Lepisosteus oculatus: one gene and its partners. The protein of the gene in region 2 interacts with the protein of the main gene of each other region in a biochemical or structural test. Links are inferred from orthologs where the notes say so. Each region holds a gene or a part of one and is shown on either strand. Other genes may lie near its edges. The genes, in order: rnf7, ubiquitin-conjugating enzyme E2 R1, cul2 and uba1.

Evidence for each region.
Region 1: the proteins of ubiquitin-conjugating enzyme E2 R1 (region 2) and rnf7 form a complex in vitro, tested with the Homo sapiens proteins (5 studies listed by BioGRID). The link is inferred for Lepisosteus oculatus from reciprocal best matches to the Homo sapiens genes CDC34 and RNF7.
Region 3: the proteins of ubiquitin-conjugating enzyme E2 R1 (region 2) and cul2 form a complex in vitro, tested with the Homo sapiens proteins (2 studies listed by BioGRID). The link is inferred for Lepisosteus oculatus from reciprocal best matches to the Homo sapiens genes CDC34 and CUL2.
Region 4: of the proteins of ubiquitin-conjugating enzyme E2 R1 (region 2) and uba1, one has a biochemical effect on the other in vitro, tested with the Homo sapiens proteins (7 studies listed by BioGRID, with this or other methods). The link is inferred for Lepisosteus oculatus from reciprocal best matches to the Homo sapiens genes CDC34 and UBA1.

Annotation. Positions count from the first base shown.
Region 1 is NC_090708.1:15,894,718-15,901,983, reverse strand, and holds rnf7 (RING-box protein 2), read left to right. Parts: upstream 1-5,006; 5' UTR 5,007-5,043; coding exon 5,044-5,218; intron 5,219-5,730; coding exon 5,731-5,778; intron 5,779-6,346; coding exon 6,347-6,465; 3' UTR 6,466-6,754; downstream 6,755-7,266. UniProt on the Homo sapiens protein: Catalytic component of multiple cullin-5-RING E3 ubiquitin-protein ligase complexes (ECS complexes), which mediate the ubiquitination and subsequent proteasomal degradation of target proteins.
Region 2 is NC_090724.1:9,517,439-9,525,000, forward strand, and holds the start of ubiquitin-conjugating enzyme E2 R1, read right to left. Parts: upstream 3,010-7,562; 5' UTR 2,432-3,009; coding exon 2,252-2,431; intron 1-2,251. UniProt on the Homo sapiens protein: E2 ubiquitin-conjugating enzyme that accepts ubiquitin from an E1 ubiquitin-activating protein, and catalyzes its covalent attachment to other proteins by an E3 ubiquitin-protein ligase complex. In vitro catalyzes 'Lys-48'-linked polyubiquitination.
Region 3 is NC_090701.1:38,381,459-38,389,014, forward strand, and holds the start of cul2 (cullin-2), read left to right. Parts: upstream 1-4,547; 5' UTR 4,548-4,638; intron 4,639-7,556.
Region 4 is NC_090697.1:77,869,926-77,877,645, forward strand, and holds the start of uba1 (ubiquitin-like modifier-activating enzyme 1), read left to right. Parts: upstream 1-4,710; 5' UTR 4,711-4,880; intron 4,881-7,720. Other genes in the region: camkvl (caM kinase-like vesicle-associated, like), read left to right, coding at 1,415-2,491. UniProt on the Homo sapiens protein: Catalyzes the first step in ubiquitin conjugation to mark cellular proteins for degradation through the ubiquitin-proteasome system.

The DNA of each region.
Region 1 (7,266 bases), on a different chromosome or scaffold from region 2:
TTCCTTTTATGAGAGACATATGGATCGTTAGATCCCAACGTACACGCAATGATAACATGGATCCGTGCCCTGGGACTATCACAACCTGAAGCCACTGGGGCATTCAGGACTGATCTGCTGTCACCAAGACTTCAGCAGGACCACCAGAAAACATCTGTGATTGATTTAAACCCAGTGAACCATAAGTAACAAATTAGGAGGGACTTCTTAAGGCTTTGTTTTTCATCCAGTAAAAATGTATTCATTAGGATGAAAGTTTCCCAAGAATTAAGAAATAGACTATTTAATGGTGACCTCCATCACCTGCTAGATTTGATCTTTCTTGATCCAGGACTGGATAATCTCTGCTGTAAAGAATATCAACTGTCTGTCATATCAGTCTAAATAAATTAAACATGGTGTAGCACTACAACTTTATATACTGTATAGCTATGATAGTAGACATTTGATATTGTTAATGAGTTTTGTGGAAATAACATAATTGATCAACTCATTGAAGAAATAGACATTTCAAGGAAGTCCTAATAAAGTACAATTCACTTACAGTACAATGCTTGATCCCTCATGGGGAAGTAAAGGTAATTGAAGAAATACAATTGCAACAAATACAGATGGATAGAAAATTAAATAATTGAAACACTCCACTAGCATGTCAGTCTCTGATTGCCTATAGTGAATGCTTTTCCACTGTCCACCTTCATTTTGAACAAGCTGGTTCACTACAGTACTATTGCTCCTGTTTTTATCAATCAGATCTATCTGTGCTTCTATATCAGGACTGATAAATAGACAAATGTGCAAGATGTTCATATGAGGAGTGGCAATCTTTCTTTAATTCACATATCATGCTTCACTTTTCAAAAACAGAGGAGAGCAAAGCAAGGCAGTGGATCAATATTTGCCATCATGGGGTAAAGTCAGTGCCAGATTTCCCATTAGACACTGTAGGCACAACATGCTTGCGATCAACTGTAGGTGCTCCTAGCTATCTAGCGGCTGTTCTAGAAACTAGATAGAAACTATCGAAGTGATGGTTGCTCGACTTGCTCCATCAATCACATGGTTTAGCATTAGAATAGTTTAAAGTGCATCATGTCAATCAATGTAATTCCATTGGTGTTTACCCCTCTTTTTGTACATTTTGGAGTGGAAGTACATAGGGCCTACAAACACCAAAATCCGGCCCTGGGTAACGTGACTTACTACATCACTTGCTTTTGCACTGTCATTGATTATTTAAGCTTTTGAGTCAGACTGCTAATTGAATTTCAGACCTGCTGGAACTCAGCTAGTATCACTTCCCTTCTCCACATATGGCTCAAATGCTGAGCAATGAAACAAAAATGTGCACATTTTCTTTCAGATAGTCAAATAACATTCCCCCTGTGGCTTTTCATAAATGATGTTTTATAGAATTAAATAGATTACAATGTTATGAGTTTTAATATTTTTTAAAACAATTTTATGGAAGTACAACTCACAACATTGATGTTGAAAGGCCAGCAGGGGATACATTTATTTTGAGGCAGCTTTCTTTTTTCACTTAAACCCACATTCACGCTGTGTTAAAACTGTGAATTAGGCCAGCTTTCATATTTACTACATTGTTTCATGATATGAAAGATAACACTTCTAAGGAGTAATGTTTGAGGTACTTCAGCTAAAGTTACCAGCTTTACAAGAGTAGCCTGCTGAAGCTACATTTTTGCTGTTTGTTCTTTGTGGTTCTGGAGCTTAAGGGAATGCCCTAAACTGACAGGCTGAAGGCACTGAATCTTTTTAGTCTTCAACATGGATGGTTTTGAGAGTAAATTATAAAATTATTCACAATCATCTAAGGCAATCCTGCTGAATTCTTCAGAATTTATACTGAAATAAGAATTAGAAGGCACAAGTGCAAACTACATGGAAGAGCAATTAAAACTGGCAACAGGAAGCATTTCTTCACCCAAATGGAATGAGAGTATGGAACAAGCCCCAATACCCTGGCTTCTTTGGAGAAACACTGTGAAACACTCAGATCAATTGACTACTAACTACCAATTGAGCTAGATGAGCAGAATAGCCTCCTCTGATTTGTAACTTTTCTACTGGTCTTCTATTCATTCCAATCAAATGACCACCTTTTGTTCTCGGTTTGCTTCTAAGTTCCACAGCATCAGGTCTCTTCTTCATTACCAAATGGGCCCAAGAACTGGAACCACAAATTCATGTCTGTGCTTTAAAGATCTGTATTCAACACTCACTGCATCTACAGCCTCCTACCCACTTGTACTGATGTCTTTGTTTAAGAGACTAACCTACAGAGATATTTTATTATTTTCTTTCAGTTTCAATCAGTAAAATTACTAATCTTGCATTTCTGTAGTGCCCCACATACACAATGAATTATCTTACAGTAGAAATTGAACATCTTCCTTCTATTTTTAAACATTTATTGCAGAGATAATCAATAAATGTTTAAAGACAGCTGACAATATCTGAATAATGAAGCAAAGAGGGTTATTAGGAAAAGTGATTTGAATGATCTAGATTCTGGAATGGTCAGTGAACTAGTCCAATGTGCAGATGATGTCAAAAAATAGTTTGACAAATTGAATACTCAGTAATCACTTGTCAGGTGGCATTTAATGGAGACAAATAGTGATAAAGCTGAGTGGTAAATGCACATACCAGAAATTCAAACTAAAAAAATAAGACAGAGGACAGGGAACATGTAGGAGCTACCTATTGACAAATTACTATCATCCTCTAGACAATGAGGAGAAGCAATAATCAATCAATCAGAATTAATGTTGAGCTACATTGGCATTTAAAGTGTAGCATTTAAATCAAAGGATGTTAAAATTGTACAATGGACTAGTAAGAACTAATTTAGAATATTGTGTAGTATTTTGATAATGCTGATTTGAAATCAGGCCAAAAATTACAAACTAGATACATTCCTAGGTTTAAAGGAATGTCCTATTCTAACAACTAAAAATAATGGCTATATTTAGTCTTGGACAGCTGAAACTGTAGAGAAGTTCACTTAAAACAGAGAAAAGGGGACAGAATTGTTATACAAAGATGGGAGTCTTCAAGAAGTTACCCAGTCATGTTGCTGAAGCAGATACTGACTTGTTTCAAGAAATGGCTGGATGAGATCCTGGAATCAATTAACTATGAATTACTAAAGCCTGTTACATTCTTGTGAAGTTAAAAACATTATTAAATGCTATATTGAAAAGCAGGTATACCCATACTATTAATACTATCAAACTGCCTTGTATTTCTGTTTGTAAGGGTATACTGTACCTTAATTGGTAGAAATAAACAATATTTTTTGTTGATGCATTGTGTTCTTTTTTCTTGAATTGTTTTGTGTTGCTCTGCTCAGGAAACAGTGGCTGCTGTTGACTAATGACAGAGCCCAGATTCAAACCAGTGATGAAGGGGCTACAGGACTCTGAAAGTTGGGAGCTCTCATTTTTTTTTCTGTCTGTTTATAGCTAAAGATCGCATTCTCATACAATAGCTGCTATTAGTTTTCCCAGCTGTTACTATGAGACAAAAGAATTGTTCTTTTTTTATCATGGTCCTGCAAGAATGTACGCATTCTTCATGCTGTTATCTATACTATGAGCACTGTTGGTCCTCAAACAGCTGAGTATCTGATATCGGAACCACAACAGTGTTGTTTTATTTCTTGATTGGCGTTATTTTATGCCCATGCTAACATTCTCAGCTCCTTTTTCTATTCCGTTTGAAGGTTACCATGCTGTGCTACAGGAATAACCCAATAAATAGAAGATTACATACAAGGAATGTGTTCAAAAGTAACAAAGTTAGAGAGTAGGATCTCAGGATGAAACTGTATCTGACTGGCTGTGGTTGACTGTTTGCTGTTTGTCACTATAGAAGAATTCACTTAGCCCTCCAAAGTAGAAGAAAAACAGAAAAGAACTAAGAATACTTTAGTTTCTGTTGGGTCACTGCTTCATGCAAACACAAAATGTACAAAAAATAAATTTCACTTTTAACTTCAAACCTTATCTTTCTTATTTTTGTTTTCTTATATTTAATTTTTTCAGTGTTATATGTCATTAAAGCTCTGTGTACAAGGGATCAACTAGTGAATGAACCAATTTTAACTGATCAACAGAAAAAAAACAAGATTATTCATAAGAAGCTTTAATGTTGCCTACTTGTTTTAATTATGTCCTTAATTCACCTGAATGATGGTAACTGAAAATTATTTTCAAATTACAAAAGCATGGACAGAAACAGCTGAAACGGCGATATGAAATAAAGAAATAAAATAAAATCTTTCTTGCAAAAAATGTCAGGCTTAAAAAATGAAAAGTATCTGTCTTTATACTCTTAACGCTTTAAAAATGTTTCACATGGGACTCATTATCACATTTCTTTGAAAAAAGGTAGGTCACTCTAAAACGCAGAGCTCTGATTGTGGATTAAAGCATCTGCTGTGCTGAGAGGTATTGAGTTGAAAATGCAACACCAGTGAGCTCTCTTTGATTGACTACTTCTCTTTGAGCCAGGTATTTATCTCATGCCCAGTCTCACTCCTGAGTAGCCTGGGGGAGCAGAGTGTTTTACATTACAGGGTACAGTGTCTACTTTGGGCTTCTCCTTGACTGGACTCATTTATCCTGTGCTTCTGTTACCATGTATGAAGTTTTTATTTTTAGAAATTTTGGATTTTCTTAATTTTTCTGCGTTACTATGTGTGTGATGTGTGTGTTTACCACAGTTTGCATGTGGTATTACAATTGTTAAATCATAAAACATACTAGCCTTTCTACAGTATGAATATTATGTTATTATGCTTAATATTAGGACAGTATGATTGAATTCTACCCAAAACAGGTATCAATGTGTTAAAAATTATATTTAATATTAAATTATATTAACACCAGTAGCGATTTAAGATTACGTTGGAGCTTTAGCCCCATCTTGCGGTTGGCCCTTAGTAGTACATTGGCTTATTGTGCTGTGCAGCCGCACTGGTCCGTCCATTTTGTTTTCCCTTGTACCATTGCTATGGTGGAGATGGATGACGGAGACGAGCCGGTTTTGATTCCTTCTCACAGCGGCGGATCTGGCTCTAAATCTGGAGGAGACAAAATGTTTTCCTTAAAGAAGTGGAATGCCGTGGCAATGTGGAGCTGGGACGTAGAGTGCGATACCTGTGCCATTTGTAGAGTTCAGGTTATGGGTAAGTGAAACAAAAAGAGGACGGCTTTATCGTGTCTTTTCACCAGAAAGGAAGTTGTGGATCCTGTTGGTCGGCAGCAGCAGCCATGCACCTCTTTTTAATGTAAGAGGGGGAAGTGGTGCGATGCGGGAGTTTTTTTTTTAAGATTTGGTTGATAAAAGCAGTAACATGCAGGTCGCGTCGCAGTAGGCCTTGTGCACTTATCAACAAGAGAATATTGTAGCTTCGTAGCAAAATCCGACAATGTTGTTGTTTAAGTAATAAAGTAGAAAACGTTGTTTCGAGTGAATAGTCAGCATTACAGTTATCTCTATTATAGTGTATGTAAGTATATAATTATAACTAGCTGTCTGAGTTAACATTTTACGATTTTTGTAACGAAAAATGATGTAAAAATACGTGTTAAGTTGCGGCTTTTTTTTGCCTGTGGTATGTTAACGTATTGGAAGTACATTTCAGATTTTTACGTCAATTTCAATCTGGCAGTGCATGTGTTTTTCCTGCTTGTTTAGATGCTTGCCTTCGATGCCAGGCGGAAAATAAACAAGAAGATTGTGTCGGTGAGTCCCCTGTGATTTGATAGTGTTATCTGGTGAAGCATGAAAGCTGGACTAAGAATTAATTGCCTTAGCCGTTCAGTGCTACTGGTTACGGCCCACCTTTGCTTTAAGAACATATGGTTAACAATAATTTAAATCTGCAGAACATTACTTGAATAACCAAATAACGCAGTATCAAGAAAACGGTGCTGGCGTTTTACTTTAATCGTGATAAGTGCAAAGTTATTTTACATACTAAAATCATGGGAGTAGTTTGTCTGCTTCATATTCCTGATACTACCGCATTTTTTGTGTCCAGAATTATCTTGCTTGAAGAAGTCGAGAGATAACAGTCATCTCTCGACTTCAGAATAACGATCTGATAAATTATCAATAGGTGCCTTGACGTTCTTATGGTAATCCAGACCCCTTTTAATGACCTCACTGCACAGCATTCCTATGCATGTAAAGGGCAGCTGCAGTTTACTCGGACCTCTTGAACCCTGTCCAGTTCATGAGCTCTCAGAGAATGTGATCTGTTGCTTGGTGGATTTTTAAAGCCAGCCTGTCTCATCCTTTTCCTTTTCAGTGGTCTGGGGAGAGTGCAACCACTCCTTCCACAACTGCTGCATGTCCCTGTGGGTGAAACAGAACAACCGGTGCCCACTCTGCCAGCAGGACTGGGTGGTTCAGAGAATTGGCAAGTGAACGCGTCCTGTGCATCAGGTGCAGGCTCACCCTCCTCGTACAGGCCTGAATTTGGACTTGCCAAGATGGGCTTGCCTTTACCTCTCGCCGTGTGGGGCGGCTACCATCCGTCGGCCTGGGACTAATCCGTTCATTTGCCGGGAAGCGGACAGCTCCTGCAGACCTCCTGGGAGCAAGTATGAATAGACGACCCTCCAGGAAAAGGCCTTCCAGCAGTTCTCTTCGCATGTTTCGTGACTGTACAGGAGCCTGTTTTACTTGGTGATGTAATAAAACAATCAAAAGAAAATAGGTATCATCTGTTTGTGTGAAACCGAAGGATGGGAAAACCCAATGGGGGAGGATTTTAGGGATTTAAAGGGCCTGATATCTGGGAATGCTTTGCTGAGGTTGGGAACAGGATTTTAAAAGACAGGCCTGGGAATGATTTGACGGTATATACTGTAGGTCAATCAAAGCAGAAGCTGGTGTTAAATTGTACTTTCCTTTTTAAAAAATGACGGTAGAAGTGCCAGTCCTCTTGACATGATAGCAGTTTTGTCCAGGAATGCATATTTCTAAACTTAATGGTTGTTGTGTGTTTTTTTTTTTTGGTTTATTCAGTGTTTATTTGAATCTTTCATTATAAGAAGGATAAGCCAGAAGGGAGAAAGGGTCTCTCCCTAACAATTTTAACTGCTCTGTTATTCTTGAGTGTTTGATTGCAAGTGTATTTACTGATTATTTTTTTTTACCTTCTACCCTGGACATCATCTCAGTCTGCTGCATGGTCAGATGATTCACTACTCCCTTGTTTTATTT
Region 2 (7,562 bases):
CCTGGGCCAACCCGACCCTCGAGGTGCTGAACACAGAGAGGTCAGAACAGACGACTGCATCCTGGGACATTCCTGCAGGTCAGCGATCCACAGCACCTGGGGAGCAGTGGATCCTGAAGGACAGACCCTCAGCCCTAAGTGCCCACTACTGGTGAGGGGTGGGGAAGCAAGAAGGGGGGTCCAACACTGCCCCCCAGGAGCCACGGTCAGAGCGCTCAGTCCGGGGGCAGGCTTGCTGTGGGCTCTGCAGGATGACTCGGTCTGTGCAGAGCCCCTCGAGTGCGGCTTCACCTCAGAGGTCAGCCCAGCCCACCCCCGAAAAGGCCAGAAAATAACCAACTGGCCAATCCCGACCTGCTCCACACTCCCACAACTCTCCGTGTAAAGAATGATCCTCCATGTCATTTCCACTTGTGTCCTGGGTTCATGTCTGCTTGTCATGTCCACAGCTGGTCTGATCCAGGCAGAGCTAGAGCAGCTCACTAACAGTTTCACTGGCCCTCCAGAACCGGCACTGGACAGCCCTGATCCAGTCCGGGGTGCTGAGCCCCCAGGCCTCAAACCACAGGCTGCTCCCCCTCCAGGCCTCCACAACAAACCGCCACAGACTTCCGCTGAATTCATTTCCTGGATTCAAGCCCTCGGCTGGAGATCCTGTTTCGGGGAGGTTCCTGAAACCTGTTTCGCTCAGGCAGGAAGAGAGCTGACAGGATTCCCGAAATCCTAGCCTCACCGCGCATTCCTGACATCCCAGCGGAATCTGTCACAGCTCTGCCAGCCTCCCCTCCTCGGCCCACGCAGGCCCAGCCTAGTCCCAGGCAGGGTTTGTGGGTCACTCCCTTGCGCCCCCATTTCATTCACTTAGCCAGCTCCCCGCCTGCAATCCCTGCCTGTCCACCACTTTCCTGGCGCGACTGACCAACTGACCACAAGCTCAGGCCAGTCTAGCACGGCCTGGCCAGCTCTCGCGGCCCATTGGCTACTCCAGCCGTGAGGGAAGTGATGTCACCCCTCCCCGAGGAGAGCAGGCGATGACATCACAGCCCGGGACCTGGTGTCAGCCAGCAGTTTCCTGTGACATCACACGGGGAAGAAGGGACATTTCCAGAGCCTGGGCTGTAGGGGGGCTCTCCTGAGATCTGTGGATTTTTTTTTATTACAGTTTTTGGTGTGAAGGTCTGGAACCTGCGCTCCAGTTTCTGATCAGGATTTCAGCAAACCTTTTCAAACAGCCCTGCGTTCCAATCAGGGCCTAGCTTGTGGATCTCAGAACAATACAGCATCTTCAGAGGGGTCTAAACCATCGTGCTCAGCATGTGGGGTTCCCCTACCGCCCCCCAACTCCGGGCACGAGCGAGCCAAGCAGGCCCAACTAGGACAAGTGACCCCCCCCCCACGCAGGGCTGTGCGCTCCCCCGGGCCCCGCATCCCCTCCTACACTGTTGCTGGGGAGAGAAAAGACGCGAATTCTCCCCAACAAAGGAGCAAATGGCTCCTGTCTGAGCAAAGAGCCGCCGGACCCGACCCGCAGAGGACAGGTGGGCAGGACGTGGCGCGGAGTCCAGCGAGAGTCCAGTAACACGCTCAGTCCTGATTATCGGCTCTGCAACTCGAAACACTGCAGAGCAGGAGCACAAACCAGACCCCCCCCGTTTTTATCAAGCACTGCACGTAGCAAAGTCATATCACGACGCGTTTCCCAGTGGTCAGCCCCCGGACACAGTGGTCAGCCGCGCATTAGGACAATTCAGAAACAAACAGAGGACACGCGGCAAACCCGAACCAAGCGAGAGATTCACACCTCCGCGGTTCACTAGGGGGGGGTTGGTGAGACCGGTCGGGTCAGCCCGTGTCCGAGCCACTGCCCCCCGCAGTCGGGTACCCCCGGGGGGGTCGGGACACCAGCGCAGCCCAGTCCGGAGCTCAAACGGAGCTAAAAATACCAGCGCAGCAGCGCGGAGGCTTCAACCCGCTGGGGAGGTTTAAATATTAGAACAAAGGAGCCCGGAGGCTCGGGCGGGGGGAGGGGCGGACGGGCCCGACCCGGCAGGGAGAGCTCCCGGAGACAGCCGGTTCCTTTGTCAAGCGCAGCTTCCAGGACAACTCGCGTAAAAACACTAATTAGGCAACAAAGGAATCGTTAATGAGCGCACCGCACTGCCGGGGAGCCCGAACCTGCCGAACAAGGGCCGGGCCGGGCCGACCGGAGAGCTCCCGGAGACACGCAGGACCGCGGCCGCCGCCGCCTCACCTTGAAGTAGCCCCCTTCGTAGTGGGTGTTCGGGGGCCCGAAGATCGCGACCTCCCAGTTGTAGAGGTCCGCCTCGTCCACCAGCGTGATGCGGAAGCCCTCGACGGGCTCCTCCTGCAGGCTCTTCAGCTCCAGCATCAGCGCCTTCTGCGAGCTCGCCACCGGGCCGTGCTGCGCCATGCCGCCGCGGCTGCAGCGCTCTGGCAACGGGGATCGGGAGCAGGCCGGCCTCTGGCCCCGGCAGCAGCACACCCTGCGCGTCTGCTCTCACTCCGGGCTCAGCACGGCCGCACAGGCTCGGAGACCCAACCCGCGTCCGAGGCGCCTGGCTCGGCTCGACTCGTCCGCGACTGGTCCGCCCGATCCGAGATTCACAGGCAGCGGGCTGAGCTCACAGAGCCCTCTTTTTCTCTTTTAGGGGAAACAAAAACTTAAAACAAAATAAACAGGCAAGCGGATGTCCGGCACAGTCTGAACCCCCTCCTCGCTCGGCTAGCGGCTGCGGTCTGCTGCTGAAGTCGCTTCGCGACAAAGGCAGCCCAGCAGTGCGGAAGCGCGATCTTCTGGGAACTGTAGTTCGATCGGAGGCTTGTGTGGATCCCAACACGATTCGCCGAATACCTGGTGCTCACCCCGTAGGCAGATGCCTATTACAAGTGCGTCGTCCTCTTAATTAGTGTCAGGCGCTTGTGTTATCCGGTGTATCGATCGCACGATCAAGCTTTCGTGATCCCGAGATAGCAATGAAGGACTACAATCCCCGCACACCCGCTCGACAGCCACACGTGAGTCGTGGGACAGCTGTTGTGACGTCATAGAGGTGGTTGCTGGGTTTGGCTTGTGGTGGCAGGAGGAAGTACGCTACGTCACCCCGAGCTTGTTTTTAACTCCCATTACCAGGAAAACAGAAAAACAAACTTTGCGCCGCGTATGAGTTTAGTTATCAGCTCTCAGATCCTCAACACCACCGATATATCATTCAGGGGGAAAGAAGTTTAAAAAATGTTGCCAACTACGTGTTAAAATGCCAATGAATTTAACTGTCGGTTATTATTTTTTATTGAGTTCATCCTGTGGTGACCACGTTAGCAGTGTGATAGCTTGTGTAGTGTGGAGCCCGATGAGAGCAATTCACATTTCATTCAATACAATTAAAAAGAATCATGGCCCCCTAATAACCCCCATCTCTGAACTGGCTTCATCACTCTGCTCTCCTCCCCACTGAGAGCTGGTGTGTGGGGAGCAGACTGGCGCATCATCCAGGTGGGTGTGGAGGGGATCCCCATTACCTGTAAAGAGCTGAGTGGAGTGTCCGGAACAGCGCTGTTACTGTAAGGATTATTATTCAGAACACTCAGCCCTCTGCTCTGCCCTGTTATGACCTGCGCAACTCATCTGTGGTCCTCCCTACCCCTCCTCCACTATTACACCACCGATCTGCCCTCCCTCTCTCCACTCCTACACCAGCAATCTGCCCTCCCCCCTCTCCACTCCTACACCAGCAATCTGCCCTCCCCCCTCTCCACTCCTACACCAGCAATCTGCCCTCCCCCTCTCCACTCCTCCACCAGTGAGCTGCCCCCTCTCCTCTCCCCTCCTCCACTTCTACACCCGTGATCTGCCCTCCCCCTCCCTCTTACTGGGGACACTGTCAGCTGTGCACTAGTTACCCTTCCTCACTGCACTTACTGTGATTGAGGCCCAGAAGACGGGGAGAGCAGGTGACCCGTGCGGCTCACCCCCTACCACAGGACTCCAGCTCAACAGAACACCATCCTGCCTCCAGAGCACTGAGTCAGCACTCCGACCGGTGTAGTGTGCTGAGTCACCACTGGCTCTCCAGGGCCCCCCCAACTCTACAGCCACCTCTACAGCCTCCTGCTCACTGGCAGACTTCGATGTTGGAACTAGCCTATAAAACTAGGGGAGTCACTTATCGGGGTAATAAACATTGCATATTGTTAAATACCTGTACATTCCTTTTTCAAGGATACTTCAGTTTTTATTGAATGCTCACTCATCCCAGCCAGTGGCATCAAAGGTCCAGGGTATTAATTGAAGTCACCAGGGCCGGACACATCTCCGATACTGTTTTCCAGCAGTGCTGCAATCGCGACAGGACAGTTTACAACACAGTGGAATGAGCTGGTGATGATCAGCACAGACTTACAGTCCTTATCCCTCATTCTGGGTTCACTGCAGCCCTGGAGTGTCGACCACGAGAGAGGGTGGCTGAGCTGTGAAAGTTCAGGTCGTCTCCACTCACTCTCCTCAAAGAGCCTGTCTTTCCCCAAGACCAGCGCCTGAGGGGGCCTTGGGCCACAAGTCGGATCAGAACACGTCACAACAGCAGGATGAGACAGCAGTGAGACACTCCCTTCTCCTGCAGGCAGAGTGATGGGAGCTGCTCACAGTGGTCAGGCCAGCAGTCGGGCTGCCTGGTTCCTGCTGAGACCTGCTGGGGCTCGGCCCAGTCTGCTCGGAGGACTTGTTTACTCCCCTGGATGTGGTCCAGTAACACCGCAGCGCTTCGTGCTGAAATCAGAGCTAAATTTAGGTTGTGGTTCTAGCTCCCTCGATGGAGGCCTACAGCACTGGCAGCCTGTGCTGTGACAAACTCCAGTGTCTGACTCATCGTCCCGGGACACAGGCACACAGAGGAGAGGACAGAGGAAGAACTGTCAGGACACAGGGAGGGAGGAGAGGACAGAGGAAGAACTGTCAAGACACAGGGAGAGAGGAGAGGACAGAGCCATTCTCAGGACACAGGGAGAGAAGAGAGGAGAGGACAGAGCTATTCTCAGGACACAGGGAGAGAAGAGAGGAGAGGACAGAGCTATTCTCAGGACACAGGGAGAGAAGAGAGGAGAGGACAGAGGAAGAACTGTCAAGACACAGAGAGAGAGGAGAGTACAGAGCCATTCTCAGGACACAGGGAGAGAGGAGAGGACAGAGGAAGAACTGTCTGGACCCAGGGAAAGAGGAGAGGAGAGGGCCGCTGTCAGGACACGGAGGGAGGAGAGGAGAGGACAGAGGAAGAACTGTCAGGACACAGGGAGAGAGGAGAGGACAGAGGAAGAACTGTCAGGACACAGGGAGAGAGGAGAGGACAGAGGAAGAACTGTCAGGACACAGGGAGAGAGGAGAGGACAGAGGAAGAACTGTCAGGACACAGGGAGAGAGGACAGAGCCGCTGTCAGGAGAGAGAGAATGAGCCCTGTGCCTACACTGAGACGATGGGAGGCTATCATGTGCCAATGCGGGGTGCCGACTGCTGGCTGCTGACTCAGGGTAAAAGGTCGCAGAGCTTCTCCCTGGATCACTGGCTAAACCACACTACAGCATGAACAGATGGCCTCTGTCTCTCCCAGAGCACCGAATCCTCACGCACCACCCCCCAGCCCCAGCCCTGCACAGGGACACAGAGCTGGCAGCTGGACAACAGGCTCAGTGGCGGTTCTGCTTAACGACTGAAAGAGAGCCCTGATTACAGCACAGCTCTGACATGCGACTCCACTGCTTAGCCAGAGTAGCAGAACTCTGGGCCGAAGACCTAGAGGTTACCAGGTTGCCAGGAGACCAATCACACCCAGTGACAGACACCCCCCAGTATCTCCTTCTGTGAGACGAGAGGCCTCCACCTCCTGGCTCAGGGCCCAGGACACACAGAGCACTCTTCCCGCAGGGAATATCTTCTTGTTCACAATGAAAACAACAACAACAACAACAACAACGTTTATAGACATCCTGCAAAAACTAAGACTTGAACAACAGATATTCCGCTTTTTGTTTTCTGCTGCTCCTGTTAAAATAAACGCCCCCTAGTGGAAACAGTGAAATAGTGTTAAAGCTCTAAACTGAGGACTTCAGATCCAGTGAGACAGTGATTCCGTTACACAGCAGACTAAAGACTAAAATCCCAGACATCACCAGTGTCCTTATCATACATCAGAGTTTATTGGTTCACCTTGACACAAAGACTACAGCAGCTCAGGTTTCTTAAGGGAATGTCGATAGGAAATTCTTTGTTTATCCTTTATATATTCATTTAAATCATTATATAATGTCACATCATACAGCCGATATAAATCAACAGAATAATCACACAGGATGTCCTGCTGGGAGATGCAGGCGGGAGAATATTTTAGAGGCTGAAGTCACGGCACTACAGGATAGCTACCAGAGAACTGACAGTAACGCAGGACGATGTGTTTCTTGGGGTTCAGCTCCAGCTGTACTGAACAGAAGGCTTGAAGAGCCAGACTGCACCCCCCCTCAGCCTGTTCTCACCTACAGGAATAGCAGCCCCCAGGCACTGCAGGCGGATCTGCCTTCCTGCCCACTGTACACGAACAGGAAAAGCAACCACTCTTGGAACTCCACTTCAAATTCAAAATAAATACACGGCTACAGACAGGAAATGAAGGGGCAGCCCCTGGGGTCGGCCCCGGGTGCGAGCCAGAGGACAGCTCTGTGTGCAGGCGTCTCTCTACATCTGCACCGCTGGTAGGGAGGATCTACAGGAAGGAGCCGTCCAGCACAGCTGCAGTGCAGATCAGGGCTCTGGGCTGGTAATCACCTCTGATTTAACTGACCAATTACCACCCAATTATCTAACTAATGGATCAATTACTGAATTAGACAATGTCCGTAGTTGCTTGCTGGTTCAGGGACTGTGAGGCCCAGGGCTGACCAGTGGTGATAGCTCAAGCCCTTCAGCCCAGATCACTGGTGCACCTGGACTGAGGCTGCGGTGCATCACTGGTCAGTGTGCGCGGTGACCAGCCTCTGCTCCAACACATGCACACTTCCTATCAGCCGGATCAATCGATTGGCGGAGGGGTCCTGTCAGCAGGGAGTACTGGCTGGATTACCGGAGGAGTAGCCTCCTCCCCATGCAGAGGCACAGCCCTGCAGGGCTCACAGACACGAGCCGCAGACATGACTGAGACAAGGAGGCATCGACTGACTCAGTCAAGTCATTAAGACATCAGGGCCAGAGGGAGACCTGGACAGGCTGTGGCTCCTGGCCAGCACACCAACGGCAGGAGGCCAGGAGTGGGGGAACGGAAAACAGACAGCGAGCTGACACCCGAATCGAACATGGGAACGAACAATAACAATCTGAAATCAAGACATTGGAGAGTCCCGCCTGGGGGCCGAGAGGGGGGCGTCAGGAATGCCTGCGAGAGTGTGGCCTTGGAGGGGAGACGGGAAGGAGAGGAGAGCAAGGAGAGGGGCAAGGCATTAGCATGGATTCCTTCAGTCTTCAGCGACTCCTCTCCTGGGGTGGGGGCGAGGCGTGGGGTCT
Region 3 (7,556 bases), on a different chromosome or scaffold from region 2:
TCATTCCAATCCTGATCAAGCTCTGAAATGCTCAAGTAACCATTTTGAATTAGACTTTCCCCATTGTATTGGTGCTTGAATTTGGGATAAATTCTAATAGATTTTAAAGCTGCCATTTTGATTTTGAAATGTTTACATAATACATTGGTCATAGCATTTTGATGGATCTGCCCAACATTTCATTATAGAAAAAAATATTAAATACTTTGTCTGGAGATAATAAACATCAGAGCATTCAACCATCAAAGAAGTGAAAGTTAGAAAAAAAAAGATACAATTACAGTGTTAGAAGCCTAATAATAATAATTCACTCAACAACTTACATAGTGCTTAGAAAAATATTGTTTCTGCCTATAAAGTTTTAATGACAAGTGCTCCAAGTTGGCATATACTGTATACGGCCAGCACAATCAATTAAAATGTATATTAGTCATATAATCAAATGTTTTAATCATACTTTTTTACCCCTATCTTTCAGTTTTGGAATAAGCCCCATTTCTAGACTCATATGTTGTCCTTTCATAATACCCTGTCCCTATTAAATTCTCACGTTATTAAAGCATCAATGTTATATTAACTCAGAAAATACAGGAGGGCGATACAATGGCCTCATAAGAGACATTGCTCAAACATAATTCTGTAAAACTAATCACTAAGATTTTAACGACATGCAAGCACTCAATTTCTTGGCCAAGAACATTTACTGTATCTGAAACCAATTTTTTTGCTGTTGCTGTATATTTAATCATATGATGCATGTTAAATAGAAAATAAATGACTAACTGCAAGAAAGTTTGACTTTGTAAAACAGCACACATATGTGTACCCCTCACAAATGGGGATACACCACCTTGCATTATAATTCCATTTAGAATTTAAAACATGATCATTAAATTCTACGCATTTTAAAGGATGTCTTATTCCATTAATAAGGATAGAGGTGTACAGAATTGGAACTTTCAAATGTTTTCAAAACGGACAAATTATGTAAACCATTTTCAAACACTCAAAGCCTCAGTCCTTTTAAGTTCAAAATAAAAGGTGTTGCAATCCTTCACATACAGCCCTAATTATTTCTATTACTACAGACTTGCGGCTCCCCTCTTCATTTTCTTACCCAACTCTCCATATTTACCTTTTCTGTCGTTTTATCAGGTCATTGTGACCAATAAATGTTTTATATTCAGATTTGAAGAATGTATATGATTTAAAGCAGGGACTTATAAAGAACTAGGTTTCGAGGTTTTAATAAAAATAAACATTAAAAATACTAAAAAGGAGACTGAAATATTAGAAGATTCCTGGACAGTTCTTTAAGAATTTGTGACATATTGGAAACCTCCACCAAAGACACCTTATGTACATTGAGAGAACATTATACCGTATCTTCTTCAAAATATATATTTTGAATGAACAATGATGAAAAGAACTGAAAACAACCATTTTTAATGAATAATTTTTATTTTAAGGCCAGAAGAAAATATGTAAATTTGTTGACAACTACACAAGACTAACAATACACAACTAAGAAGCAGACTGTAAAATGTAGTTTATATTTCATGGCTCTGTATTAACAGTAACATGCAAAAGGTTAGACAATACACTGTAGCTAGGCATTCCAATAAGTGACAAAGCAAAGGATATTGCTCCTTTTACTCACACATGGTTGCAGTGGCAGCGGAAATATAACAGCAAGGCAGAATACTTTAGGTATCAAATTTGGAGGTTAGTGAGAGCTAAAGGTCAAATACTTTTGAGGTCTGTGTGAGAGAGTTTATCTTTATAACATCTTACCTATGCTTTAAATACAAAACACATCAAAATGTTGTCCTTTGGTTATACCTTTTGTGCGCATCAAATTGTTTTAAAAATGTTTTTTTTTCTATTTCAGAAATTGCAGACCAATATTATTTTTTCCACCAGTGTAACATACTTGAAGTTACCAACAGCACACTTCATACAGTACACTGAAGATAATTTGTTATAACTTTCTTCCTAAATTCCTAACCTATACTATTATGAATGTATATTTCTAAAACATCTGTTTCTCACAGTTCAGACTGTATAAATTGCAACTTCTCTAAAATGTTTTGGGTGTTTCCAAGCAGAAACTCACTAGGTTAAACTTTTAAAATATTCTACTGGTTCAGACCAGACTAGAGACTAGAAACCTGAAAAGATGTACTGTTGCCTTAACAAATTTCCATGCCTGAAGGGATTTAGCTACATTGCAGTTACACTCCTGGGCTGACACAAGCAGTCAAAATATAATACCATGTTTGAGGAAACTGAGTTTTCTTAAACAAATATGCTTGGTTTCTTGTACATTTTAAACGACCATCCTCACCACACAAGCCAATCACAGTAATTAATCACAGTTAATTATTAAAAAATATTTTAATACAATTCACGTTTAATTCATGCTTATTTTAGCAATCTTAGCAAAACCGAGTGTTGCAAACACCACTTTATAAAAAGCAAAACCTCGCTATAATATATAATGGCATATAAATAATTAGATAATTGAACTGAACTCGGGTAATTGGGTTCAGTTGGTCAAAAAAAACTCACGGTTAAACCTATTATTCAGTGTGTTTAGCTTAATACAATTATTGCTAAATCATAACTGAATTACGTTCATGTTTAACGCAAGCGGTTTTGCTACCCTCCTCCACAGGCAGTAGAAAAACAACCATTAGAAAAAAACAATGCTGTGAGCAGGGCGTTGTCGGTTTTTGGACAGAAGGGAGGAGACAGGTTCTGCGCCATTTCTAGAACCTTCCTGCTCAGCAACGGACGCCATTTTAAATGAAAATATTTAAATTAAAATAACACATCCAACAGCGGATTTTTTTTAACTTATCAGGTCGCATTGTAACCCGAAAAACTGACTTAATCGGTTTCGATTTTTTTTTAAAAAATCTTTCCCGCCAAAGATACCTATAAGTCAATCATTTGCAATGAAAACCTAAAATCGTGACGTTGCGCGAAAAATATAAATGAAATAATGAATAATTGAATGCACATATCTAAACGTTATATGCGAAGTTAAAACATTAAATAAACTCTGCATTCGCACATACACTGCCACACAGAAACTATAAACGTCTTCGGCGGCATTTCAGTACACTTGAAGTTATTTTTAATTGGGTTTTATAACAATAAGTCGGAAGATATTTGGATATCCATCTGATTGACGGCACAGAGCCTCGGAACTGTATTTCTAATTACTATTTTCGGTTCAAGTCCCCCTCCTCTCTCCCCCCACACGCAGCGAGCACTGCTGTCTAGCGATCCTGAGCTTATTGACTAAGACACATGAGATCCCCGTCACGTCACGTTTCTTTTTATTCAAGACCTAGCAGGGTTTTAGCTGTGGCCAGATATCCGATGTGAAGGAACCACGCAGTCACATAGAAGTGCCAAAAAAAAAGAAAAGTCAATTGCGCAAAGAAAGTGCTGCAAGTTACTAAAAACGAGAACTGTTAAAGAACTACTAAGCAGATTCATTTTAATTAAAACCTGGAAGCCAATTCGCGCAGACTAGGTCATTTCTTAGAACGCCGCTTTCCAGTACACCCCGCTGTCGAAACACTGAAGTGAAAAGAAACATTGCACTAAATACAGAGAAGTTTTGATAAAGCTGTCTAGGCGTGACCGATAACATTTCCACCCTTTCGCTGCGAAAGGAATTGTTCCCTTGTACAATATCCGAAATGCACAACGATCCCTCATAAATTTTAATTCAGTTACTTCACAATTAAAACTAGTCATCTAATTAACCACGCACAGTGTCCCGAGTTACTCCTGTAATAATTAACTTGGCAACTTTACACTTAAAAAAAAACAAAAGTTACAACTTGTAAATGACGTTGAACCTTTCATCGCTCCAATTACGTCCGTCGGCTGCTAACGTTATTATTTGCACTAAACTCTGAGATCATTAAGGACATCTACTTTTTTTAATGCAACCAGCATAGTTGTGTATCGGAAACCAGAGCTAAAGGCGAGAAGCGGTGTCTTTGCTAAGGAGGCTGTGCTGCTGTCACCAGAGTACCCACGACCAAGTCGTCAGCAAGCAACTTCTCCCTGTCTTTCCTTTCTTTCCCCCCCTTCAAAGCCTCCACTTGTTTGCAGTGCCTGTAATAACTTACCGATGTTTTTTACGTAGTGGGACTCGTCACTGATTACGGTAGGAGTGGATGGCCTGAGCCGCTGCACACGTAGCCGCCACGTCAGCTCTGATGCTGCTGAGCTGTGTAAAATGTCGGCGAGGTCCTCGGCGCCTCTGACAAAACACGAAGATCTACGGGGGGAAAAAAAAAATCAACCCACTCAGGGGCGGGATTACAGCAGACGAGCGGGTGGGAGGGACAAAGTACAGAAGTCGGCCTGCAAATGCGGTGCTAAAAAGAGGGTTACAAGGAGGCGGCGAGCTCCGGCGTTTCTGGCCGCGTCGCTGCGGACAGCCTCGGGCTGCGTTCTGCGCGCGAGGCGGGCGATTCAAATCGGGCCGGACGGGAAAACAAGCGCGGCGAAAGAAAACAGCAACAGCCTCGGCGCGCGCTCTCCTGCGGCTCGAGTTCCGAGGGACGCCGCGGTTGCCCGGAGAAATGACGTCCTGGGGTTCCCTCTGCTGTAGGCGTTTGCCCGGCTGGTTCATGCATCGCTTTACATGCACACAGTGTTGTGAATCCGGTAGCACGAAAACGGGCATTTTTAGTTTATTTCACATTCATCTTTTTGGCGCCGGTTGTGTTTTGCCCCGTCTTTCCCTCCCGCACACAGAAAACACAATGTAGTTCTTGTGTTTTATGCAGGGTGACGACTTCTGAACCGCGTTATATATTTAAATCATGCGATAAAACAAGACCAGTATTCCAGCTAATAATGAAAGCTAGACGTATCAGGTAACCCCTAGTACAAAATAAGTTGCAAGGACCTAAAGCGATTGATGAAGTGGGTTTAAGTTTTCAGTCGCACTCAATTGTGTCATCCATAAGAAAGGATGCGGGGCGATGAAGCAACGAGAAAGTCCATCAGTGTATATGGAGGATATATTTTGAGAAAGTGTAGAATGCTGAATATGGTAACTTGTGCTAACACCTGTCCTCAGAAACATGTCTAACACAGGCACGGCGGAGGAAGGTTTAGTAATGAAATGAGGAATTCAGGAAAACCAGTCCTTCAAACTCAGAATGATATTAACCATCAACCCAGAAAAGAACCACCAGTAAAACATGAAAATTAAGCAGGAGAGATAGTGGGACTGAAGCACTCATTTGTAATCTTATCCTTTGATTATTAGGTGTTTCATTGAGTTTCTGTTTCGTAGTTGTGTAAATTACTTTGACACTCCTTACTCCAACATTTATTCAAACATCATACAGCTATTAAATAATTAAATATGATGTTTACACCATGTTGATAATGTCTTTGCCATAACCTGGCTGTTGCAGCTGATGTATGAAATGAAATACAGTGGTTGTCCACAGACATTTCTTTTGGTGAGGTTACACAATTTTTCGGCTTGGACAGCTTTATTAACACAGAAATTAAATATATCACCTAAGGAAGGAAATGCAGTGGGTGGCACATACTGTACATACTAAATATTAAGATATTAAAGTAATTCAAGTTCAACTGAACTTGAACATATACATTTATGTAAAGCCCAGAAATGGAAGTGTTGTTTTCTACAACTTTCAGCCAAATTTGATTTTAAACCATGCCTTGGGATCTTATTTAACCTTCTTGCCCAGTCTGGACTGCTGCTTGTTTGCTTCTTAGCTTTATAGCTGTGGCACCTGAATGCATTATACTACATATTCAGTATGTCCAACTGAGCGTGGGTCAATGATGATTTCTGTTACTATTTATATCACTGAACCCAAGACATTTGTTTAACCTCAGGTAAACCTCTATTATTTTAATATCTTTAATTGCTCATTTTTCTTTATAGAAACTTTGTATATATAATATGTCTGCAATAGATATTATCTGTACATATATATTATGAAATTAGTTCAGGTGGGTTGCTGCGTCAGCATGCGTAGGCTGCAAAGGAAGTCAGGTGTGCGAAGAAGGCTCCACAGCCAAAACGCTGTGTTTTCTTGCTTCTCTTTTCAGCATGGAATAAACCTATTGTTCCTTATTATGAAAGTGTACATAAAAGCTATACGTATGCTTGTAAAATAATAAATTAACTTGGAATATTAAATTCTAGTGACATCTAGTGGCTAGAAAATAGTTTTTAGTGCTGTTTTCATCCTAATTTAGAAGTGGTCAAAAGTACCATTGCTACTACTAATAATTGCTTACACTTATAAAGTGCTTTTCTGGACACTCCACTCAAAGCGCTTTACAGGTAATGGGCACTACCCTCCACCACCACCAAGGTGCAGCCCGACCCGGATGATGCAACAGCAGCCATAGTGCGCCAGGAAGCTCACACCACGTCAGCCATCAGTAGGGAGTAGAGCAGAGTGATGAAGCCAGTTTAAAGATGGGGATTATTAGGAGGCCATGATTGGTAAAGGCCAATGTGAAATTTGACCAGGATGCCGGGGTAACAATCCTATTCTTTTCGAGAAACAGCCTGGGATTTTTAATGACCACGGAGAGTTAGGACTTTCGTTTTACATCTCATCCGAAGGACAGCACCTTTTTACAGTAAAGTGTCCCTGTCACTGTACTAGGGCTAGGACCCACACAGACCACAGAGTAAGCGCCCCCTACTGGCCCTACTACCACCAATTCCAGCAGCAGGAAGTACATACAGTGTTACACCGTTTAAGATTTTGTACACAACCTAAAATTGAATTTTCCAGGTAATTTAGGGTAAGGCAAAAGTGTTCTGTTTACTTTTGGTACTTAATTATATACTCCCAAGTTCAGTGATCACATATAAATTGGTTAGTAACAGAAAGTAATAGAAATAAGGCCTGGTAAATCACTGTTAATATAGTATCTTTTTAATGCATCTGATGCAACCTGCACATGTTCTTAACAGGCGAATACAAATATCACATATCGCAGTGAACAACCACCACATACTGTATCTGTATGTACCACACATACCAACACTACAAAAAGTGTTGTTTTGTTCATAAATGACCATGCAGTGTGCAATTCAGCAATACAGAGTATGAACATGTTTATCTTTATCTGTACAATTCCTTTGATCAAAGGTACAATTAAGCAAACAATATTATACTCACTATCGCTTGTAGGCATAAAATGATGTGGCTAACTAAAATCAGAGAAGGTATAACTATTTATTTGTAGCAGCTTGCACAATGCAGATTTATCTTTTCCTCTGTACAGATGATCAGTTATTTAAATATTCAATTCAGCATATCAAACGCATTGTCACAAAAATACATTCTTTGGAACTTGCTTCATTTCCAAAAGCTCGGTAAAGGGAGAAAGAGACACTTTCAAAACACAGCCACAAGCTAGTTTCTGTAGTCAAAAACTCTTAGCCTATTTTAACTTAAACATTTGTTTGTGAACTGGGTTTTATTCGTTTCATTAAAAAAAACCCAGCAAGAACA
Region 4 (7,720 bases), on a different chromosome or scaffold from region 2:
GGTCTGCATTGTGTATCAGTATCTCTTCCTTTTGGTCTTGAAAGACAGAGAGAGCCCTGGAGCATTTTTGAAAACTCAGAGATGTTGACTGGAGAATCTGTAGACAGGGGGTACATCTGCACACACACAGACACACGAACACTCACAGACAGAGAGACAGACACACGAGCAATCACACACAGACACACGGACACTCACACACAAAGACAGTCACACGAACACTCACAGTCACACAGACACATGAAAACACACACACAGATACACAAACACTCACAGACACAACAGACAAACAAACACACAAACACTCACACGCAGATATTCTTGCACATGCATTCAAAGCTGGGGAGCCACACAGGAATCTCAAGCACATGTTCCTTCTCTTTGAAGACCAATGAGGTTCATCGCATCCATTATGTCCGCAGAGTGGCCAGTCACCCGAGCAGGGCATCGGCGCCACGGTCCAGCCCAGCCCAGCCTCCCGCAGTCTGGAGCTCCACGCTGATTACCTGCTTGATCACTGGAGTGACTCTGGGCCAATGGAGGCTGAGCTGCTCTCTGACCATGAGCCGTGTCTCTACGGCCACAGTCAGAGGTCCCATACTAACAGTGCCGGGAGCTGCCAGTTCAGCACGTTGTCACTCCAGCCAGCAGTGGGGGCACTGAGAGAAAAGTGTTCCCCTGATCAGACAGTCTCTTTGGCCCCTCCGCTCTGCAGAGAGCAGCTGGGCCATGCCTGCCCAGAGGAGGGTGTGGGCGGGTGGCCGGTGTCACCTGGCGCAGGCTGGTGTCCTGGCCAGATGTGGTCACAGCTGCACTCCTCTGCAGGGCAGGAGAAGGTCTGGACGAATCCTCTTATGGTGGAGCAGCTTCAGCTTTGCTGTTCAGGTGGTTTCTTTGCAGCTTCCTTGTCTCTGCCCATCGAAGTCCAACACTGTATGACATTGTGCCTTAACGTCATTTAGAAAAGTAGGAGATCACCCTTTAACCACAACATGCTCAGTCTTAGTAATGTTCACCTACTAACACGTGTCGGATTTGTCAGGACCTGTCTTCCTGCTCCATCTGGTTAATGAATTGCAATGCTGGCCAGTACTTTAGGACCAGACTACTGTGTCCGACCAGTACGTGTCTGTATAGACGTCCGGGTCAACTGGACCTCCTGCTCAGAACTGGCCGGCACTGACAGCCTGAAATCCAGCTGAGCTCTGCAGGGGCCCTGGCCACAAAGCGAGCAATTGTGTCCTCCTGGACATGCTCGTTTCAAGCAATTAATCTGGGGATTGAGCAGCTGAAATGTATTCTGAGGAGGTCGTTAAGACAATGGCTGTGGCTTTTAAGCCAGGCTGTTCTGGGGCCTCAGCTGGCTGTCCCCAGGCGGCGAGGTGGTCCTGTAACCTGCCTGTTGTCCCCACAGAAGGCCATCCGAGTGACCACCTTCATGCAGCGCCTGCGCGCCCCCGAGGCCGGCAGCGGGGGCGAGGGGGGGGCGCGCCTGGCCGTCACCCCCCGCACGTCCATGAGTGTTTCCCACAAGGTGACGGTGGAGAGCCGGCCGGAGCAGGCCGGGATTCCCAGCAGCCTGTCGGTGGGGGTCTCCCCGACCTCCACCACGGACCCCCTTCCTGCAGGCGATCTTGGGCTGCAGCCAGAGGGGGGGGCGGCCAGCGACAGCGCGGGGACGACGGCGGCCAGCCTGGGGCCGGACAAGCCCAGAGCGCCCCCCGACAAGCCCCCCCCTTCGCCCCGCGTCGAGACCAGGAGGGTCCCAGACCGCGGCACCAAGGTGATCGTACTGGAGCACCCGGCCAGCCCCGGGGAGACGAGGTCGGGGTGCCCCCCGGACACCCCCAACAGGCGCAAGATGGCAGCTGTCCTGCACCGCTCTGCGGACGACACCGCCTCCCCGGCGGACCCGGAGACGAGGGCCGGGGGGCCGGCAGCGCGCCGGGGGGCCGCGGGGGGAGGGGCCGGGGACACGCCCGGGCTCCGGCCGGAGAAGGGGGACCGGGGCGCCGGCGGGGGTGGGAGGAGAGCCGGCGCGGCGGAGAGCTGGTGCCAGACACAGCTGCCCGAGGCCGTGGCGGAGAGGAGGGGCGCAAGGGAGCCCCAGGACGGGAGCCCCGGACGCAGGGACCCCGGCGCGGCCAGGGGCTCCCCGGGCGCGGCGCACCGCAAGACCGTGCCCGTCCAGGGGCAGCGCGAGGCCGCCGGCGACTGGCACATGGACAGCGTGATCGAGCAGATCGAGAAGCAGATGGCCGCAGTGCTGGAGAAGATCGAGGGCGACATGCCTTCCCTGCTGGAGCAAATCAGCGACCGGCCCTCCCCAGCGCGCGCCCCCCTGGCCCCCGCCACGCGCCCCAGCCTGCCCCCCTTCCCCCACCTCACCATCCCGCCCTGCACAGCCCCCCCGCCCCCCCCGCCGGAGCCGGAGCCAGGAGAGCAGCCGGAGGGTGAGGCCGGACCCGGCCAGTCGCAGAGAGGCTTGTGATCCAGCACACAGGGAAGCACTCTGGGAAATGCCACTCATGGCGATATACGGATACACTATTTTTCTTCTCTGTCTCCTGTTTTGTGTTTGCCCTTCTGAAGGTGTTCCTGCCCCTCCCTGTGCCTCTCCCGCCCGGCGGCCCAGCATGCCCCTCTGCGCTCCGCTGTGTTCTCTCCCACCCCAGCGGCACACCTGTTCTCTGACAATTTTTTGCATCTGTCAGCAGTTCTTTCAATAAAACTCTCAAGCAAAGCGCTGTGACAGTCTTCCCTTCCTGTCTGTGTGCGTGTCTGCGTCGCTGTCCGCCGGCCAGATGAATCCCGCTGGCCAGCGCAGGTCAGTCTCCGGGCTGGAGCTGCTCACCTCTGACCCCACGCACCCCGGTTTCTGTCCCAGTGGACACCCAGCTCCAGGCTCAGGCTCTGCCCCAGCCTGTCCCATTTCCCTGTGTGGACAGAGGAGAGACCGGGGGCCTGTCAGTCAGCTGAAAGGGCGGGTCCCTCAGCACTCAGGCAGGTGGGACTCGGGGTGCCAGCAGTGACTAGGCCGACAGCAGTCTCGTGAAGGACAGGTGAGGAAGCACCTCTTGTGCAGAGTACTGACGCCACAGAAGTCCGATCGCACACACTCGCTGATCCCGATACAGTAAAGGCAGAGGAAAACACACGCTGGATTATTTACAGTAACGCCTGGCTATGCACTTTCCTGCACAGCCAGTGTGGGACACTCCGTTCAGACTAAAGAGACTCAGTTCCTGTAGCCTGTCAGTGTGGGACACTCAGCAGACTAAAGAAACTCAGTCCCTCCAGCCTCTCAGTGTGGGACAATCCCTTCAGACTAAAGAGACTCAGTCCCTCCAGCCTGTCAGTGTGGGACAGTCCCTTCAGACTAAAGAGACTCAGTCCCTCCAGCCTGTCAGAGTAGGACACTTACTTCAGACTAAAGAGACTCTGTTCCTGCAGCCTCTCAGCAGCCATATCACCCTGCAGCTCAGAACTGGGAGCCTACTGGAGCCCAGCAGGTGTGAGCCTGGTCAGTATCTGGATGGGAGATCTCCTGGGAAAAACTAAGGTTGCTGCTGGAAGAGGTGTTAGTGGGGCCAGCAGGGGGCGCTCACCCTGTGGTCAGTGTGGGCCCTAATGCTCCACTATAGTCATGGGGACACTATACTGTAAAAAGGCCATCTCTGAACTGGCTTCACCACTCTGCTCTGCTCATCACCGATAGCTGGTGTGTGGGGAACGTACTGGTGCACTCTGGCTGCTGTCACATCATCCAGGTGGGGGTGGAGGGGATCCCCATTACCTGTAAAGCGCTTTGAGTTGAGTGTCCAGAGATGTGCTATGTAAGTGTGATGAAGCCAGTTCAGAAATGGGGATTATTAGAAGGCCATGATTGGTGAGGGCCAATGGGAAATTAGTCCAGGACACCAGGGTAACACCCCTACTCTTTTTGAGAAACACTTGGGATTTTTAATGACCACAGAGAGTTAGGACCTCAGTTTTATGTCTTATCTGAAGAATGGCACCTTTTTATAGTATAGTGTCCCCATCACTATACTGGGGCATTAGGACCCACTCAGACCGCAGGGTGAGCGCCCCCTGCTGGCCCCACTAACACATCTTCCAGCAGCAGGAGTTTGTCCCAGGAGGTCTCCCATCCAGGTACTGACCTGCTGGGCTCCAGTGGGCTCCCAGGTGTGAGTTGCTGGGTGACATAGCTGCACACTCATGCAACTAATTTGCGCTATTAGCCAAGGTGCGCGGGAGCTCGTGTCTGAGGCGGTTCGCGTGTGCTGGCCGGCAGGACCGCGTGCCTCCGCCTGGACCCTCCACGATGACATTCTGAAACCGTTACCTCACATTTCAAATCTGCGCTTCAACATGACCGTCGGCACCAACAGACCGGCTCGCCACCGGGCAGCAGAGCCGGACTACAACTCCCAGCAGCCTGCGCGGCAGCGCTCGGACCGGGAGGACCCAAGCCATGCGAACAGAAGGGGGGGCGAGAGTCCTAGTTGTGTAAATAATTTTAGAGCTCCCACCAGTATTATGGAGAAATACACAGAAAGTCACTAAACTTTAAGACTGTGTTAAAGTCTTTGATTCCGTACAATGTGAGTCTTGTACGCCGTCGTGCGTAAATGTATTTTTCTCTGTTTCTCCCCCATCTCAAGATGGTGGCGCGGCCCCCCGTCGGAGCCCCTCTGTCCGCACATGTTGCTTTATTCTCGCTGCGCTGCTGGGAACCGGCGAGCCGCCTGTCTCTTCCCGTGTGAGAAGCCACCGAGCTCCCGCCTTCGCCGTCAGCTCCCACGGGGGGTTCTCTCTGTCTGCTCGCCCTTTCGATTTTAAACACCGAGGAGCAGGTCTTAGCAAGATCGGATGTGGTGAGTGCGACGCCTGCTCGCGTTGGACCCCGGGCCGGGGGCCGGGAAGACAAAGCTGAACCGTGCTGGCAGGTTTGGGGGCGAGGGGGGATGGGGAGCGCGGGGAGTGAGGGCGAAGGGCTGAGGGTGTTATTTATGCACTGGGTGTTCCTGCCCGACCCGGTGCTGCCTGCTGCCGGAGCCGAGGATGGAGCTCAAGTTGCTGCCCAAGTTTCGGAGCTGCTCGCCACCCCGGCGCCCGGCCACCTGTGCGGCGGGCAGTGTCCGGGCCGAGGGGGCCGGGGCAGGGGCCGGGGAGGGAGCCGGCGTCCCAGCCGGGGCCGGGCGAGCCCCAGGCCGCAGGGAGAGGGGTCCGAGCCGGGGGGAGGCGCCCGGCTGGGCCTTTCATTGTTGTGTAGCGGTTCCCGGTCTGCACGGCGGATCTGAGCGCCAGCCCGCAGACTTGCAGCCCACGTCTGCTTTGTTTGTGCTGCCCGAGGTCGCGGTCCCTGCTCCACGGGTGCAGTGTTTTCCCGGGTGGCTGGGCTCCCCACGAGTGGACGTGGGCTGTCATGACGTGCCTCTCGCTACGGGTTCTCGTGCAGGAGGGGCGACGCAGCTCCCTGCTCAAGTGCGTCAACATACTCTTTTCCCTTCATCCTCTCTAAACACACTGTACCTCAGCTCTAACCACTAGCCCACACTGCCTCCCTCTCTCTCCCCCAGTGCCTCAGCTCTAACCACTAGCCCACACTGCCTCCCTCTCTCTCTCTCAGTGCCTCAGCTCTAACCACTAGCCCACACTGCCTCCCTCTCTCTCTCTCTCTCCCAGTGCCTCAGCTCTAACCACTAGCCCACACTGCCTCTCTCCCTCCCAGTGCTTCGGCTCTAACCACTAGCCCACACTGCCTCCCTCTCTCTCTCCCAGTGCCTCGGCTCTAACCACTAGCCCACACTGCCTCCCTCTCTCTCCCCCAGTGCCTCGGCTCTAACCACTAGCCCACACTGCCTCCCTCTGTCTCTCTTTCCCCCAGTGCCTCAGCTCTAACCACTAGCCCACACTGCCTCCCTCTCTCTGTCCCAGTGCCTCGGCTCTAACCACTAGCCCACACTGCCTCCCTCTCTCTGTCCCAGTGCCTCAGCTCTAACCACTAGCCCACACTGCCTCCCTCTCTCTCTCTCCCAGTGCCTCAGCTCTAACCACTAGCCCACACTGCCTCCCTCTCTCTCTCTCCCAGTGCCTCAGCTCTAACCACTAGCACACACTGCCTCTCTCTCTCTCTGTCCCAGTCCCTCAGCTCTAACCACTAGCCCACACTGCCTCTCTCTCTCTCTGTCCCAGTCCCTCAGCTCTAACCACTAGCCCACACTGCCTCCCTCTCTCTCTCTCCCAGTGCCTCAGCTCTAACCACTAGCCCACACTGCCTCCCTCTCTCTCTCTCCCAGTGCCTCAGCTCTAGCCACTAGCTCACACTGCCTCCCTCTCTCTCTCCCAATCCCTCAGCTCTATCCACTAGCCCACACTGCCTCCCTCCCCAAGGCCTCAGCCCTCACCAGTGGGACGTGTTCAGAGTGGGTTGGACAGAGCTTTTGGACATCAGCCTGTGGCCGTGATTGTGGGCAGCAAGACAGAACCTGATCAGTGAATTTGATTGTTTGTGTACGGCGAGTGACATGCAGCTCAGTCCCTGGTGTAGTTGAATAGCAGTGCAGTTAGGAGGACCAGGTCTGTCAGGGTTACAGTCGCTGGTCCTGGTGTTTGTGTTCTGTGGGCTCTGCTGCTGGCTGTCTTGACCTGCTGATGAACAGAAACAGCACGCCGAGTCCAGGAGAGGGGCAGTGGTATGAGAGCAGCCCGGTCCGGGGCTCGCTGGCTCCACCGAGCCGGTTCTACATGACTGTTTCAGGGCCCCAGGGGGAGCGAGATGATGATGATGATGATGTTGGGGTTGAGGAAGGGTGTCACCCTGTGATTGATGACTGTGTTGTTGATGACCATATCTGTGGTTACTCAGTGGAGTTCTGGGTCACACTGTTTCTGGCTAAAGACTGTGGACGGTATATTTACACCGACACGCTTGGGACATCTTGCCAAACTGCTGGAGAGTGCCTTCTCCTACGGTAATGGACTTGGAACCATTTATTAATGAGATGGGCCAGGTGGGCCTGGTCGCTTACTGAGTGAAGAGACGGCCCTGAGGATCCCAGCGGAGCTCCTGGCTGGGCTTCATCCCAACTGGCAACATAAGGCATCCAGCAGCCTGACAACTCCCCTGCGGGCTCTGGGGGGTGAGTCTCCAGGGGTGTCCAGTCCAGGTCCTGAGGGGCCGGTCAGTGTGCCTGCTCCAGGGGTGTCCAGTCCTGGTCCTGGGGGGCCGGTCAGTGTGTCTGCAGGTCCCTTTAAAGAGCAGCTGGGAGAATCTGTCACATTGGTCCAGTAGGTCTAGTAACCAGCTGGCTTGGAATGAGAACCGACCCCACCAGGACCGGACTGGCCACACTGCTGAGACACTGACCCCACCAGGACCGGACTGGCCACACTGCTGACACACTGACCCCACCAGGACCGGACTGGCCACACTGCTGACACACTGACCCCACCAGGACCGGACTGGCCACACTGCTGAGACACTGACCCCACCAGGACCGGACTGGCCACACTGCTGAGACACTGACCCCACCAGGACCGGACTGGCCACACTGCTGACACTGACCCCACCAGGACCGGACTGGCCACACTGCTGACACTGACCCCACCAGGACCGGACTGGCCACACTGCTGAGACACTGACCCCACCAGGACCGGACTGGCCACACTGCTGACACACTGACCCCACCAGGACCGGACTGGCCACACTGCT